Cricetulus griseus: one gene and its partner. The protein of the gene in region 2 interacts with the protein of the main gene of each other region in a pairwise test. Links are inferred from orthologs where the notes say so. Each region holds a gene or a part of one and is shown on either strand. Other genes may lie near its edges.

What was found. The genes of interacting proteins can lie anywhere in the genome.
Region 1: the proteins of Troap (region 2) and Dyrk1b interact in binary tests that used the Homo sapiens proteins (3 or more experiments, as listed by UniProt). The link is inferred for Cricetulus griseus from reciprocal best matches to the Homo sapiens genes TROAP and DYRK1B.

What each region holds. Positions count from the first base shown.
Region 1 is NC_048602.1:7,915,076-7,917,427, forward strand, and holds part of Dyrk1b (dual specificity tyrosine-phosphorylation-regulated kinase 1B), read right to left. Parts: coding exon 2,332-2,352; intron 1,200-2,331; coding exon 913-1,199; intron 371-912; coding exon 224-370; intron 143-223; coding exon 2-142; intron 1-1.
Region 2 is NC_048595.1:395,511,114-395,515,351, forward strand, and holds the start of Troap (tastin), read left to right. Parts: upstream 1-1,438; 5' UTR 1,439-1,463; coding exon 1,464-1,620; intron 1,621-1,884; coding exon 1,885-2,033; intron 2,034-2,140; coding exon 2,141-2,324; intron 2,325-3,603; coding exon 3,604-3,761; intron 3,762-3,843; coding exon 3,844-3,981; intron 3,982-4,238. UniProt on the Homo sapiens protein: Could be involved with bystin and trophinin in a cell adhesion molecule complex that mediates an initial attachment of the blastocyst to uterine epithelial cells at the time of the embryo implantation.

The DNA of each region.
Region 1 (2,352 bases), on a different chromosome or scaffold from region 2:
CCTTCCTGAGTTCCTTTGTCCTTCGTAGGGTCCAGCCGCCCCCAGGCAGCCGCTCAAAGTACTTGCGAGCCTTGGGTGCCTGTTCCAGCATGGGCGCGGGCGGGATGCCCAACACCTCGACAATGCGGCTCATCTGGTCCACCTGCGGGCAGGTGGCGGTCAGGGGCGCCGGGCGGCCAGGCTCCACCCCTCCACCTCCAGCACACCCCTTCCAGGGGCACACCTCATTGGAGCCGCTGAAGAGGGGCTCTCCGGTGTGCATCTCCACAAGGATGCAGCCCAGGGACCACATGTCGATGGCCAGGTCATAGGGTGTGCCCAGGAGCACCTCGGGGGAACGGTAGAAGCGGCTCTGGATGTACTGGTAGATCTGGGGAAGGGGACAGGAGTCAGGGCACTGGCTCCCCTGCTGGTTCCCCCGGGACACTCAACTGAAGACAAGCCCCTGCTCGAACACAGGATGGAGCCTCTAGATTCTCAGCAATGCTGCACAAACCAGTCGCTGTCCTGCTCATCAGCTTCCAGTCTTCATTGGCCTGCTTTAACCCTGCCTCTGCTCCCAGCTCTGGTCCCTGCTGTTTAGGAGAGGCTGGCCATCCCATACTGAACTACTACTAGTAGTGAGTGACCCCTCTGCCTGCTCACACAAGGCTGCACGAATTCAAGGTCTCTACCTGTGACCTGAAGAGCACAAGTCCGCAAAGCAGAGTTCAGGCTCTGCTCTGGGGGTCACCCTTTCTCTTCCTTGCTTGAGTCTCCTCTGCCCTCTTCATCTCTGCTCCCCTCCCTTCAGACCGGCCTCCCTATGCCCAATGTCATCTCTCAGCTTCTCATCAGCTTCCAGGGTCAAAACCAAGCTGTCCTATCCCATTCCACCCAAAACACGGGCCCTGCCCAGAGTCGGAGCCGCACCCGCTGGCCAAGCTGACAGGAGCTGCCAAAGTCCACGATCTTGATGGCACTGCGCTTAGGATTGCAGAGCAGGATGTTCTCGGGCTTGAGGTCGCAGTGGATGATGCTGAGCTCGGGCGTGGCCAGAAAGAGCAGCGCTGTGCAGAGCTGCTGCGCCAGCTTCCGGGTCAGGTTCAGAGAGACACCGCGGAAGTGTGTGTTGCGCAGGAGGTCGTACAGGTTGTAGGACAGCAGCTCAAACACCAGGCACAGATGATTTCGAAACATGAAGTGCCGCTTCAGGTGCACTGTGGGGGACAGCAGGCCACAGATGAGAAACAGGCGAGAGGACAGGCGGCCCAGGGCCACACGGTAACCGCCTCTGCTAAACTGCAGCGAGCCCTCAGGTGTCTGTGCATCGGACTCGCAAAGCATGCTAAATCTCTTGAGGCTCTCAGACCTTCCACTTGTCACCAAAAGGAAGGTTTCTGCCAGCGGGGAATAGTAAGCATGACTGTGTAATGCCAGCGCTTGGGAAGCTAAATGGGAAGATGACGAGTTCAGGGCCAGCTTGGTACACAGTGAAGCCAAAAAAAAAAAAACAAAACAAAGGGTAGAGTAACCTTAGGGTTACGCTGGCATAGGCTAAGGGATGGCCAAAGGGTGGGAGCCTGTTTGCCTAGCAAACACAAGGCTCTGGGTTCAAGCCTCAGCCCAGCATAGGGAAATAAAATGCAGTTATCTCCTAATAGAGCTTCAAAGCAATCCCAGGCTTCCTCATTTCATTCATAACACCGAGCCAGGCCTGGTGTGCGGGCATGAAGACCAAGGTCTTCAGATGGGGATGAGGAAGAGCATGAACCCAAGGCTTGTCAGGTAACTCTGTCTCAAAATACCTAAGTAAAAAGAGGTCCAGAGGCGCAGTTCTGGGGAGAAGCACTTGCCTACTATACATGAAGCACTGGGCTTGATCCCCAGTATGGCAAAACAAAACCCCAAGAAGTGGCACCACCAACAAAAACCCAAATGAACAAACGAATCTGCTTTCCTTTTAGCTGTATCTGTCTTTGTGGCAAGCGACACTGGCTGTCCTTTTAAGCCATTTGTCAGTCCCTTTCCAGAGGACACATCTCTAATTCTGTTCTGTATAAACTGTCCCCTCATGTACGTGACAGCACTGAGTGCCTCACTTTCCTATCTCTAACGTGCACAGAACTGCCCTCTCCCTCACTGGGCTGGCGTGAGGTAATTCACAGGAAATGTTTGCAGCAGTCTGGCCCTTAGCGAGCACTGGATAAACACTGACCACTGTTAAATAAGCACAGAAGAAGAGTCATGACCACAGCAGGAGACCCCCTGAGGCGGAGGAGCCTGAAGAGCCACCCTTATTGGCGCTATCTCCACACAGGCGCCCTGCGCTCACCCAGGGGCAGGCCTCACCTATGTAGTACTTCATCTCTG
Region 2 (4,238 bases):
CATGCAGAGATGAAGACAAAACACAAATAAAAAATTTTTTTTCCAGACAGGGTTTCTCTGTGGCTTTGAAGGCTGTCCTGGAACTACTTTTTTTTTTTTAAGATTTATTTATTTACTTATTATGTATACAACATTCTGCCTCCATGCCAGAAGAGGGCACCATATTTCATTACAGATGGTTGTGAGCCACCATGTGGTTGCTGGGAATTGAACTCAGGACCTCTGGAAGAGCAGCGAGTGCTCTTAACCTCTGAGCCATCTCTCCAGCCCCTGTATCTCTTTCTGTATCTCTTTATATAACTATCATATATGTAAAGATAGTCTTTTTTTCAAGATTTTATTTATTTATTATGTATACAGTGTTCTGTCTGCACATTCCTGCAGGTCAGTAGAGGGCACCAGATCTCATTACAGGTGGTTGTGAGCCACCATGTGGTTGCTGGGAATCGAACTCAGAACCTCTGGAAGGGCAGCGAGTGCTCCTAACCTCTGAGACATCTCTCCAGCCCCAAGATAGTCTTTTTAAATTCGGGATTTCATTATTTAATCGTGACTGGCCTGATTCCAAGTTGACTTGATGACCTAGGAACTCAGAGATCCGCCTGCCTCTGCTCGTCCACTTCGAATGGGTGGGTAAGCAGCTGAATTCTAAAAATGCTTAAATGGGGCATGGGAGGGGGAGGTCCGGGAGCAGGTAACAAATAACGCCCATGTCCCTGGCTTGTGTATGGGTCAAAGGCTGTCCACGCAGGGCGCGTGCGACGCTGACACACGGGAAGCTGGAGCAGGAGGCTGCGAGTGTGAGGCCGGTCTGGGACAGAGTGTGTGCAGACTGGGGTGAGCCGGGGTCTGTCTCCCCATCTCCACACTGCAGCCTCACACCTGTCTACCCAGGAGTAGCCGCTGAGCTGTCCCTCCAGCCCAGGGAAAGGCAACTGAGGGTGAGGGGCCCCCCACACGAGGAGCCCTTCAATGCCGCTCCACAGAGCTCCAGCCACACTGCGTCCATGGGGTCCACACCCCGCCAAGTCGTGAGGTCCGAGGGGACACACCGCTTCTCGGCTCCTGGATCTTGTCGGGTTCAGTTCAGTTACCTCCAGCCCGCTCTCCCGTCTCCCGAAAGACGTGCCCAAGCTTCCCGGGATAGCACCGGCCTTGCATCACTACGCTCGCAGTGTGGTCATCGGGATTCTCGACGGCCATCTCTTCCCACAATTCCGCGGACCTTAATGGGTGCAGGCCCTCGGCTGGCCCCAGATCTCGCGAGAGTACGATAATGCCCGTTGCAGCCCAGATTCGCCTTCCCGGGCATCAGCACTGCATGCTCCCTGGCTTTCCCCCAATCCTGCCACTCGCGCTCCGCTCTCGGATTGGCTGTGAGAGCCGGTCAGTTTTTTCCCCGGCCAGAAAGCAGTCCCACAACTTGTCCTTCTCTGGCCCCGCCCTCGGCGTTTGCGGATTGGATGGCTGGGTGTGATGTCACGCGGCTCGCGTCAGCGGAAACTAGCCAATCACAGGGTTGGCGTATTTTACAAACTGGGGAAGCCGCAGCAGCAGAAACCCAGAAAATCGGCGAAAAAGCTGAGAGGGTAGAGGTGACCCCGAGGGGCTCCTGGAGAGGTGCGGCATGGGTTCTGGGAGGGGATGAGTCCTGTCGAGGTTCCCAGGGAGGGACAGCAGTGTGGCGTTGCGAGGCGAGAGAGCAGGCTTGCGGTGTCTGGGGGAGTCAGCCCGAAGAGCGGCCTTGCTGCCGGGGCGAGCCTCTAGGCACATGGATTGGGAGCCAGGTGGAAGAATCAGGGCTATCAGCCCCATGCCCTGTTAAGTGATTTGCTTTGGTCCTCAGTCCTGCCTTCCCGCCTTCTTCTCCCGTCTCAATTATAGCCGCCATGACTACCCTCCACACTAGGAAGGAGCCCCTCCTCCGAGGTGTGTCTCCCACCCCTAGCAAGATTCCAGTACTCTCTCAAAGATGCCCAGATTTCTCTTCAGTCAAGTCGTGCTCTCAGGACCGGGAGAACCAAGATCCAAGGGTAAGAGGGGCTTGATGGTTGAAAAAGAGAGTAATGACATGGAGGCAGCTTACATCAGCAATGCTCCCCAGCACCGACTCCCAGCTTTTTGTTCCCTTCCCCCTCAGAGACTGTCTCAGAAAGTCAGTACTCCGCATCCGCTCATCGGCTCAGCAGCCCCCAGATCGAAAACCCTGCACCACACAGAGAAATCACAGAAATTGGGGATCACTCGGCTGCGGAACCCTTTGGAGGAACTCAAGCCTAGCTGTGGGGGAGCAAATGTGGAACATGTGTCTCACACCCAGACAGGTACCTGCTGGAAGCCTGGGAATAGTCTACTTGGTTGAGTGAGGATGGGAAAAGCCAAGTGGGATTTGGAGGGGTTGCACACCCTCTGGTTCCTTGCATATTGTAAGAGTTCTAGACTCTGTCCTGAAAGCTCTTTGCACTAAGAAGCCATCCCTTTACTTCAACAAAATGTCTTCTCTTTCTTGTCATGGTGGTGCATACCTTATCCCAGCACTCGGATGCAGAGACAGATGGATCTCTGTGAATTCCAGGTCATCCTGGTCTACAAAGTGAGTTCCAGGCCAGCCACAGCTCCACAGTGAGACCGTGTGGAAGCCTTTTCAGCAACCTAGTCACAGACATTCCCTCATTGTTGTGCTGATTCTTTTTAATTGGTCCATACTATAGCTTGAACAACCTCCTTTTCAATAACAGATATGTTTTTAAAAGATTTATTTTTGGCTGGGCGTTGGTGGTGCATGCCTTTAGTCCGAGCACTCGGGAGGCAGAGGCAGGCAGATCTCTGTGAGTTCAAGGCCAGCCCGGTCTCCAAAGCAAGTACCAGGATAGGCTCCAAAGCTACACAGACAAACCCTGTCTTGAAAAAACAAAACAAAACAAAGAGGATTTATTTTTGTTTTATGTGAGTCCGTGTGAATGCAGTGTCCATGGGGATCAGAAAAGAGCATTGGATACCCTAGAGCTGAAGTTATAGCCAGCTGTGAACTGCTATGTGGGTGCCAGAAATAGAACCCTCCCGGAAGAGCTGCCCATACTCGTAACCACTAAGCCATGTCTCCAGCCCTCAGTGATATCTTCTGTATGACAAAGAGTAATAGCTTACATGAAATTCTTTTTCTTTTTTTAAGATTTTATTTAATTTTTATGTATACAACATTCTGCTTCCATGTACATCTGCACACCAGCAGAGGGCACCAGATCTCATAACAGATGGTTGTGAGCCACCATGTGGTTGCTGGGAATTGAACTCAGGACCTCCGGAAGAGCAGTCGGTGCTATTAACCTCTGAGCCATCTCTCCAGTCCCCTACATGAAATTCTTACATGAGCTAGGTTCCCCCAACTCTCCCCCATCTCTCAAGGCTGACTTTTAGCCCTGTATGCTGGGGAGGCTGGCCTTGAACACCTGGCTCTCCTGCCTTGGTATACTAAAATCTGAGATTACAGGTGTGTACACTAAGCCTGGCTTGGATATGTTTCTTTTGTTCACTATTGCTAGAGTCCTCTGCCCCTCAGCCTCTGCTATTCCTATCGTTCTAATCCTATCCCTTTCCTTTCAGAGGCTTCAGGGGCTATAGAATTTGTTGCTGACCCTGCAGCCCTGGCCACCATCCTGTCAGGTGAGGGGGTGAAGAGCTGTCCCCTGGGGCGCCAGTCCAGTCTGGCTCAGAGAGTACTAGTTCGAGGGAGCAAGGGAGGCACCACCCAGAAGGGCAAGGTAATGAGAAAGATGTGAGGTCAGGATGGGGTGGACTTGGGGAATTCTGAGCTCTTGCTGATAGCCTCTGTTGGCATCTCAGGGTGCTAGGTCTTCCGCATACCTGGCCCCCAGAACTCCCATCCATCAACTGGATCCAGCCAGGGCTTCCTGCTTCTCAAGACTGGAGGGATCAGGATCCCGAGGCCACACTTTGTTCCCACAGAGGATAGAGACTCTAGTGAGTACCCTTGAGGAGCTGACACTTAGTCTTTCTAGAAACTTCTTCCTGGAACAAAGGTACTGCCCTAGAACAGTACCTCCTAGATGAAAATGGGTTCTGAGCAGTGCTGTGCAAGAATTTAATCCCATCACTCGGTAGGCAGAGGCAGGAGGATCTCTGTGAGTTCGAGGCCAGCCTGGTCTCCAGAGCAAGTGCCAGGATAGGCTCCAAAGCTACACAGAGAAACCCTGTCTCGAAGGGAAAAAAAAAAAATC